Linked DNA regions of Drosophila melanogaster. The protein of the gene in region 2 interacts with the protein of the main gene of each other region in a pairwise test. Each region holds a gene or a part of one and is shown on either strand. Other genes may lie near its edges. The genes, in order: pod1 and CG15572.

Evidence for each region.
Region 1: the proteins of CG15572 (region 2) and pod1 interact in a two-hybrid assay, tested with the Drosophila melanogaster proteins (one large-scale study listed by BioGRID).

The regions. Positions count from the first base shown.
Region 1 is NC_004354.4:6,801,621-6,806,816, forward strand, and holds the start of pod1 (pod1 coronin), read left to right. Parts: upstream 1-2,063; 5' UTR 2,064-2,146; intron 2,147-2,475; exon of another isoform or gene 2,476-2,557; intron 2,558-3,364; exon of another isoform or gene 3,365-3,386; intron 3,387-3,507; exon of another isoform or gene 3,508-3,629; intron 3,630-3,764; exon of another isoform or gene 3,765-3,855; intron 3,856-4,057; 5' UTR 4,058-4,289; coding exon 4,290-4,598; intron 4,599-4,997; coding exon 4,998-5,184; intron 5,185-5,196.
Region 2 is NC_004354.4:4,266,823-4,271,746, forward strand, and holds CG15572 (uncharacterized protein), read left to right. Parts: upstream 1-1,878; 5' UTR 1,879-2,208; coding exon 2,209-3,666; 3' UTR 3,667-4,261; downstream 4,262-4,924.

The DNA.
Region 1 (5,196 bases), 2.5 Mb from region 2:
CTCATTAATTATAAGCTAAAAGCTGGCGTCGTTGCATGGAACCAGAACCGGAATCAACAGGATAATGCTGGGTCAAACAAAAGTGCAATTATAAATGGACACCAGGCAGCAGGAATTGTGTTTTCACGGAATTAATTAAAACGAGGGTGGACAATGGGGTCAGCGGGGCAAAGGATTAATATGCATTTTCACACAATTCCTCTAACCACCCACTTTCGCAGCGTTCTAAACTCTTGTTCCTAGAGCAAGTGCATTTTCCAGGTAATCAAAATCCTTGGCGTTTAGTCGGAATCAACAGGATAATAATAGACAGAAAATGGTAAATCAAATACCAAATACCACACGAAAACAACCATTCGCAGGTATTAAGTAATGTGTGTGTGTGTGATTAGAGTTAAATCAAAAATTAGTGCTTCTCATATGTGGGCAGAAAGTGCATAAATATAGTCAGCAGAGCGTATTTCCATGGAAACCGCACATTTGCCCAATTTCCTTTCATCGAGAGGGGATATGAACTTACTTACTAATATGGTTTTAAAGCGTAGGATATTATTAGTTAAAAGAAAAATATTTCGATTTTTTTAATCTAGTAAAACGTTGTGTAAAATCCTTGCCTACTTTTCTGCTAAGCCCCACAAATTGTGCGGAAAATGTTAGGGATAACGTTTGCAGAGGCCAAATTCGGTTCAGGATTTCCGAGAAATGTTTAATGCGATTTAAATATATATATGTACATATGTATATGAGTGATGTGCCTCAAAAACTCTAGTCAATAAGGATTTTCGGAATGATTTAATTAAACAAAATTCTACAGATAAACAAAGGTCAAATGCAATCGGAGAGTTCCGGGAAATATTCAAGGAGCTTCCTTCCATATGGGATGCAGAGTGAAATTCTATGGTTTATACAAATGGAGTAAAGACGACAAGAGGATAAATTCCAATTAGGATGACAGCCTTTTTATCCAGGTTTCAAACCATATAAATTTAGGAAGAATTTTAGAGGAAAAAAAAGACGAGAGTGTGTGTTCGTGTGTGTGGGAGCGCAGCGGAGGTGCGAGGGACGAAATGAAAATAGGAAGAGGAAATGGAAAGGAAAACGAAAATGTTTGCGTTCGCTTCTGGAGTTGTTCTTTCAATGTTTAACACTTCTGGAAGAGAGGCAAATGCAACTGCAGCATCTAAAAGTCTAAAAATAGACTTGTTGACAGCTCCCAAAACGAGCAGCAGCAGCAGCAACAACACGAACAACAACAATGAAAGGCGGGGGCGTTGCTGGATAAAGGGGCGCGGGTTTTGTGAGCAGTACAGGGATAGTGGCAATAGGATCAAGAGGATGGTGAAGGGCAGAGACGGAGGCGGAGGCGGAGGAATGTGTGTAAACGATGGAGGCGAATGCAAACGGTAAACTGTGTGGAAATTGGAAGGAAAAGCCAAGGAGTCGCCAAAAAAAAAACGAAGAGAGCGCTTAAGAGCGAAATACTGACCGATTTTCTGCAGTATATTCATGATGAGGCCGTGTGTTTCCGCCAGGATTCACAGATTTCCCTCTTGGCAATTTTCATTCTCCTTTTTCCGCAATGATATTCGGTTCTTTTTGCTCATAGCCGCAGGCCAGTAAATAATATAAAAAACACTAAATTCTCTTTTCCTCTCACACGCACATTTTCATCGTTCTCCGCTTGAGTAGTATTAGTATTTGCTCACACACACAGTACAGTATTTTTATTTGATATTTCGCCCCGTCTCGCTCTAACTACACATATATGTACATATATTTATAAAGTTGTGTTGCGATCCGCACTTTGTATTCACTTAAATTCAATCGCACTCGCACTGCACTTTTGGCCGGCTCTCATTCGGTCCAAAAAAAAGAAAATATAAAAAATAACAATACAATTTTAAACGCGCAACACAACAACAAAATGCGGTGACCGTCGCGCAGTGCTGCTAAAATGCTTCCCAAACAATGTGAAAATAGTGACGAAGAAAGTGACGATTAGATCGCAATCGATAGCTCTGTCGATAGCGCTGTGGCGATGTATGGGTGCCACCTCTAGCACGCGGAGATGGAAACTATCGATAGACGATGACAAAACGTTTGAAAAAAAGTTGAAGATCTCTCGCGTAGTTTATTGATTGCATTGGTAATTTAATTGCAATATTTGTAATTACAAGCGGGAGAATAATCACCGGCGCGTGTGTGTGAGCCTAATCGCCGTGTTTTTCCTCCCGTGTGTATGTTTGCGTGGGTGTGCAGTTGCAGCACTGCAACTCAAGTGTGCGTCTGAGTGTGTGTGTGTGCAAAACTGCTCCTTTGTTTGCCCATAAAAAAAGAAGCGGCGTCGCCTTTGCGCAGTTTTTGTTGGTGTAGTTGCACCACCCCCTCTCCGGCTACTGCTCCCCACTCCACCCCCGCGCGCACCCTTTGTTGTTGCATTTGTAGTTGTCATTGTCATTGCCGCCGCTTTGGATTCTTCCTCTTCTTCTTCTGCCGGCGCCAGGGTGTGTGCTGCAAAAAATAAGGAAAAGGAAACGAAGGAAAAGCGAAAAAAGAAGTATATAAAAATAAATTCACCCCTCTTTTCATTGAATGGCACGCAAACTAGAAAGTAACAACCAATAATCAAATGCAATGTATGCAAAATATAGGATGGAAAACTTGTGAAAATGTCAATAAATGCATATAAGCAGCAACAACAAGAACAACAAAGTGACCAAAAACCAACCACCAGAAGTGCAAATGTGTGTGTGTGTGTTTAGTGGGCAGTGGGTGAAAACAACAAAAATGCTAGCCGGCTTGTTTCTAGCCACCCCCAACCAAGCGAAAGAGAGAGATAGGGATGCAGATGCTCGTGCTCTCCCACGCCGCCCGCTGTCATCCGTTAACCGTTAGCCGCTGAGCTCTCCTGCAGGTTGCACCTGTGCCCGTCTCGCTCTCACTTTGCAACATCACCTCGTTATATTGCCTTTGATTTTGCTTTTCTAAATCACTTGACCCCATTACCTGGTGGCTCCGCTGGCCAATACCTGCTTGGCCGTCCCCCAGCCGCACCTCCTTTTACCCCCAGTGGTCATTTGTTTTGCCGCTTTCTAACAAACAGAAACAGTTGAATTGGCGCATGCTCTCTCCCTCCCGCTCTCGCTCTCTCGACGTTTGCTTACTGCACTCGGGAGACTACACAGTGCGGCCTCCAGAGAGTAGAGTATAAAAATAAAGTAATAACTAACTAAAGACGTAGAAAAATATATATTTTTGCGCAAACTAATATTTTATTTGTTTGATCCAAAGGCTCATTGATGCCATTGCACTGTGATGTTTAGTTTACAGAGTGCTCACTGTGCTTATCCATAAACTGCAAGCCAGTTGGTTGTGTTTGTACAAGGGTATGTGTGTGTGAAACTCTCCATGAAATTTATCAAAAGGATCGTTAACCCTTAGGTGTGGCATATTAACCCTTACCGCCGCTCGGATCATACTGTTTGTGTTGCCATTTTCAGCAGTTGTTCATACACGTACTTCATATTTGCAAATTACACATTAGAAATTAGTGCAAATTTAAGTAAATATATGTTTAGCTTGACAGAAAGTGAAGAAATAACGCTGAAAAGAGGATCACTAACCCTTAGGTGTGCCAAATTAACCCCCACCGGCCGGAACTCATCATATTTTGCCCAGTGTTTTTCCTCGCCTTTCCTGATGATGTACAAACAAACATTCGCATACATACTCAAACAAACACGTACGCCAAATGCGCGAGTGTTGGTCGGGTTGGCTGGCTGGCTCATCCGGCTTTGGTGGACACCATTCTTGTCCAGCTTTCTCTTTTCAATAGACGTATCGCCGCAATAGCAAGTGCATCTCTCTTTTTTTCCCCATCCATACTTGCTAAATGTATTATTATTTATATTCGGTTATCGGCTATTGTTTGCCCTATCGGATTTGGATGACGATGAGTCAGGAGCGGCGGGCAAGACGATAACAAACTGTGGAATGTCCCCCGCGCACCCAAGTGATATCATACTCGTACTTATGCGGCTATTTTGCCATTTTCCAGAAACGAAACTCTGAAACGGAGCAGCGGAGCGGAGAGCGAAGCGCAAGAGAGCGACTGAGAGGGAGCCACCGGACTAGTGACACTCGACCATCAGGCATCAAGCATCGGGCATATACAATCCACAATCGACTCTCTACACTCGAGCAGAGAACGTCCATATCCATATCCACATCCGCATCGGATCGCCATCACATCGGATCGAAGCCCTCCCAGCTCAACCAAGTAGCCAACCATGGCCTGGCGATTCAAGGCTTCCAAGTACAAAAATGCCGCACCCATTGTGCCCAAGGCGGAGGCATGCGTCCGCGAGATCTGCGTGGGCAGCTACCAGACGTACGGTAACAACATCGCCGCCTCCGGCGCCTTCATGGCCTTCAACTGGGAGCACACCGGGTCCAGCGTCGCTGTCCTCCCGCTGGACGACTGCGGCCGGAAGAGCAAGACCATGCCGCTGCTCCATGGACACACGGACACAGTGACGGACCTTAAGTTCTCCCCGTTCCACGACGGGCTGCTGGCCACCGCCTCGCAGGATTGCCTGGTAAGAGATCCTTTAATATTATTTGGGAGTACCCCTAAATGTTTCAAAAATATATTATGTGTTAGGTCATTACTTTCCAATGATATGTCCATAGAGTTACTCAGAATATATTTTTTTTCTTGTTTTATTTTTGCAATATTATTAATTTAATAAAAATGTATTTTCCGTTTCTCAAACATTAAATGTTTATTTACCAGAAGCTACAGATAAAATAGTTGCATGTTATAATGAGTTTATGAGTGTGATAAGAACGAACAATCAATAATATGCTATTATTAATATTAATAACTCACCAGAAACCATAATTTCATCGCAACGCTATCACATTAGTCACAAATTAGATAGTCAACATGACACAAAGTCCCCCTGCTAATCAATCACTACCATTGCAATCCACAGGTCAAGATCTGGCACATACCGGAAAAAGGTCTGGAGCAGTCGCTTTCCGATCCGGAGGCAATCTTCTCACACAAGCAGAGACGCGTAGAGACAGTGGGCTTCCATCCAACAGCAGATGGTTTGATGTACTCCACAGCCGCCGGCTGCGTGGCTCTCTTCGATCTCAGCACTCAAAAGGAGATATTCTGTGAGTAAACAC
Region 2 (4,924 bases):
GTTTCGCAGATCCTTTGGCAGGTAAGATAAGCCCACACACGACGCAGGATGGCCGCTTGGCCTGATGGCCTGATGGTCGGTGCGGTCCGCAAAGTCCACTCCTTCCAGCTGATCGACGTGCGGCGAAGGCAATCCCTGAATCCCAGGCGACTTGTGTGTCAGCTGCATTGGGGCCCCACTGCCTCCCCTCGACCGGTTGCCAGCAGCTAAACGGGCTAATTGAAATGCAACTCGAAGGCAGAGTGGCCGATGTCCAAGACTCCACCCGACCCCTCTGAGGTGTGATGCTGGCATTTGAGAGCCTTGAGCTTGCGGTCATATCAACAAGGATACGTTGACTAAGACGGGCGACCTCAATCGCGTCCTTTGTGTTTGATGTGGTGTCAGCTTCGGGCGCAAATCATTTACTTTCGCCTGTCCCACCTGCAGTATATACCAATGTATATATGTATGTGCAGTACATATGTGTGAATGCTTCATTTCGGTTTGATTAGCGATGGCAAAAATAGACTCTAATAGATAAAATATATCATTATCTAACAGTATTATATGTGATTTTAGTGATAACCGCTTTAGCTTTTTCAAATCTATGTTGAAAATCTATCTTATCAGCGTGCATTGCTGTTTCGCCATCCCTAGCAGAATGTGCGAAGCTATTAGTTCCTCACTGAATAAGCGATTGTGTGCGGGCAACTGTTTGAGTTCACTGATTGTTGCGACACCGACTAGCATTTAAAGGGTCCAAACAGAATGCGGCCATGGTCCGTGCCATCCCCATTAATTCCACACCCTCGAGGGAGGCGGAAGTCACTGCGCTTGGGGTTTAGTCACGCTTATGTCCTTGGCCTTACGTCTCCGTCCCACACACACATCCCCCCTCCCCCCCTCCTCATTTGTGATAATACCTGTTTGGTCTTTGGGAGCTCGGAGCTTCAAGAGGTCCTAGGTACCTAGCACCGACTACGTTGTTTTCACGCCCGTTGAACGGGGCAAGCGAGCGTGAGGCGAGCACATTACAATGATGCAGCACCACCAACTCTTTCTCCACAGCCAACCAAACCCCCCCCCCCCCCCCCACCAATCACTAGGGCAACTCATTTAGTATCTTGTGTGTGTGTGTGTGTGTGTGCAGAATACTGCGCACTCTGGACCCAGTGTTTAGTCCAGTCAACTGGCTTTACTCAGCTAAATTAGATTTTGTGGTGCGTAATTTGAAAATTGTGAAATTACCCAACACTGCGGAGTCGAGTCAAAATGGAGAAGTGACGCGGCACATTAACACCCAACCATGCCAACTGCGTTTTCTTTGAGGGTCGCTCACTAATGTCGGATTATCCGCTTTGAGCCTTTTTAAGAGCACCCAAAAACACACGAAATTAGTGCAATCCAATTGCCAGAGCCCCAAAATGGGAAAGAGCAACCCTTGAGCAAGATTGGCCATAATTCAAGAACAAAATCCAATTCTTGTGATTTTCGCACCTCATCACAATGTCTAAAAACAGGCCCGGGGCGCTCCCCTTATTCGTTTGCTTAACGCATAACTTTTGGGCCCTCGGTGGCATATTGTTTTACATGTTGCTCCTTTGGATAAACGGATTCGGCTTGTTTTGGCCTGCGGAAAAGTCGTCCTTTTTGGGTCGAAAGCGACCCAAGCGAAAAACTGGAACCCAAAAATTGTTATGTTGTTGAGGTTTTCCGTTTATTCCATTATTTATGTACTGCACACGCTTAGGCTAAGGCCTTTCCTTTGTTTGGGAACAGAAGTAGTACAACATATTTTTTAGAAAGTAATATTAACAAATAAATTCATTAGCAAGCACAGTAGGCAGCGATTTTACCGTCTACGTTACTTGACGTAGGGCCTTTTCTAGGTATACATAACACATACACCCTCCATTCGATCGGCAAAATTTATCTTTCGGCAACATACTAAAAACTGTTGTAAATTATCGTATCTGTATCGTGTTCTTCTGTTGGATTATTGGTCCCAAGTGTGTAGACGACTGCCCGTTCTCCGGTTTTCCTCCAGACCGTAATAAGATAACCGCAGAAAAGTCCAACGAAGCAGCTCAACAAAAATTCTAAATATAATACCGAGAATAATCATCAACCATCAAATACATCAGTCCACTAGCCGAATTAGCAAGCACTGTCCTGTAACCAGCATACCACGCCTTTGGGAATATCTATTGTGACAGAGGACGAGCAATGGAGGATTTGCATTTAAAACTCGGCGATCTGCCCCAGGAAGTATTGGCTGCACGGCACAGCATGATTATGGGCCAAAAGTTGGCTGGATCACTTGGTGAGACACAGCATCACCTTCAGCATCAACATCACCTGAATCACCAACTGAACCAGCTCAATCAGTTGAGCCACTTGAATCAGTTCCATCAGTTAAACCAATTGAATCAATTGAGTCAGCTACACCAGCATATACAACATAAGATCTCTTCGGGGATGAACCTAAATTTGGATCTGGACCATAAGATGGAGACGGAGATGGAGTTGGGTCTGGGCCTTGATGTGGATGTGAATCTGGGAGTTAATCTGGACATGAATCCGGAGGGCAGTATTACCAATAGTACCAGCCGTACCAGCAGTGCTAGCAGGACCAGCAGCACCAACACGTGCAGCGATCAGGGGCAAGGACATGGATCTGGGATTGGACTTGGTGACCCAAAGCGGGACCAAAGCCAAGTCCACTACGCCCATGACCCTGCCCAGGATAATGGCGATTCACCGAATGTCAAGAGTTGTACTGGAATGTGCAGCCATCAAACAGAGAGCAATATGAATAAGGGGGATTCCCTAACGCATACCAAGTCTTCATCGCCGAAGACGGACAAGGGGGAGAAGGATAAGGAGGAGCTTAAAGCGAAGGAGGAGGAGGAGGAGGAGTTTAAAGAGGATACGGAGGATAAGAAGGATAACGAGGACGTTTTCCAGAAACAGGAACCGTCTTCTTCCATGTTGATTAAGGCGGCCAACTCCAAGCTAAATGTCAATGCCACTGTTTACACGATGCCAGCCAAAGTAGAACCCCTTCATGACGGATCATTCGTGCCCCAACCGAGTTCCAGTGCCACCTCACAGGGCACTGGGGACTATCGCCTCAATGCCCAGGCTGCTGTATTCAAGCCATCTTTGATGTGCATTTGCTCGTTGGCTTCGCCGGTGGTTTTGCAACGACTACGTCCGATTGTAGTACGGCCACCACTACCGGGGGTATCGCAACACCTGATGTCGGACATTTCACAGCCTCTACTGCCGAACTCGCCACTGATGAGCCACGAGTTCTTAGCCCATGGTTTTCATCCAATGCAAAGGTCGGGCCATAAACCAAGTGGCCGCTGGCGCAAACAACCGCTTCCGGACTTGTTCAGCGCCGTCATGTCACTGGTGACGGAACTGAAGCGATCGGTGAGCTATCCGGAGATCATAAGCTGCCTATCCAAGAGACTCCATCGAGCGGAGGTGGAACTGAAGCGCCATGTACCGCACACATTGCACGCCGCCGTTAACAATGGCTATTTGAAGAAGGAGGGCAATCGCTATTCCCTGCTCCCCGAAGTGGAACAGGCTGAGATCATGCGACGCAACATCGCGGATGCTCTTCGGGCCAAGGAGCTGGAGAAGGAGCCGTTGTCCTGGCGCAGGCGTTAATGTACGCAAAACCAATCCTCAACTACGTTCACAACCTGGCATCTACACGCATCATCCCGCATCCCGCAATCCACATTCTGCATCCTGCATCTTTATCATCACATTTCATATCCTTCTGCTTCATACATTTTATAATTAAGCTTGCACAGCACTCGAGGCTGTGAGCATGTAGTCCTGTGCGTTGCACAACCCAGAGCCCCGAGTTCTGTGCCGCCGACGAGCCCCGCAATTTGGTTTTACTGTACGTGACCTACGTCTGCGAAACAGCGGTCCGTGTGATCCTCGATGCGTGGCCTGTGCTTAAAGGCACGCAATCTTCGATCCGCGATCGACGAGCAGAAGAAGAATTCACGATGACAAAAGTATACATTGTATACAAGTCCAATGGGGACGGTTTAGTCGATATGCTGCCTCCAGAGGATATTTCGTTGCCTGATGTTCCCTTCAGCGTTAAAACAATCACGTTTTTCTGGTTAAGCGCTTTATTATTGCAAGCTATTCGGGTAAATTCATCAAACTTATTAATGGATGGAGATGTGGGGTTAATAAATGGCTTCCGCTAATTGGTATGATTACGTAAGACCTACGCAGTTATAAATCAACAATTCATATATAATTTCAACCATTCATTTTGTATTTCATTGGCCTGCTACTGCTCATTGAAATTCTGCTATGGCCATTAGTATTTTTTTTTTTTTTTTGCATTCAACTTTGTGTTTATCAATTTAGTCAGTCGTCCATCCATCTCTCAGTCAGTCAGGCATTCCAGTCAGGCAGTCATTTAGACGGTCGGCGGTTGTTCCGATCTGTACAGTTAACTAGCTATTGTGTGCAGAGTGGCGAGTATCTAGGAGCTCATCATGATTGTTTTGTAATTGGAATGCGACAATGCGAGGCCAACAAGGAGGACGGAGATGGTTGATGGTGGATAGATAGAGGATGCCATCTCCCAGTATGCAAGGACAATAACAATAACAAAAGCAGCAGCCACGGCAAGGATGAGAGGCTGTGGGCGGAGGGTGGTAAGGACGAGGAGGAGGACGACGAGTGAATGCCAACTCAACTAACAATTTGCTTCAATTATAAAAAGCGTCGCGACAAAGTGGCGCCAAGCAAGCGACGGGCGGGAAGGAGTGGGTGGTTGCATTGGGGCATGAATGTGATGCTGTGCTGTTGCTCTGGTTGTTGCTTTTGCCTTTGCCTTACTGTTGCTGCTGATGAAATGGGTAAACAGTGGACAGAGTGGCCCGGGGGTATG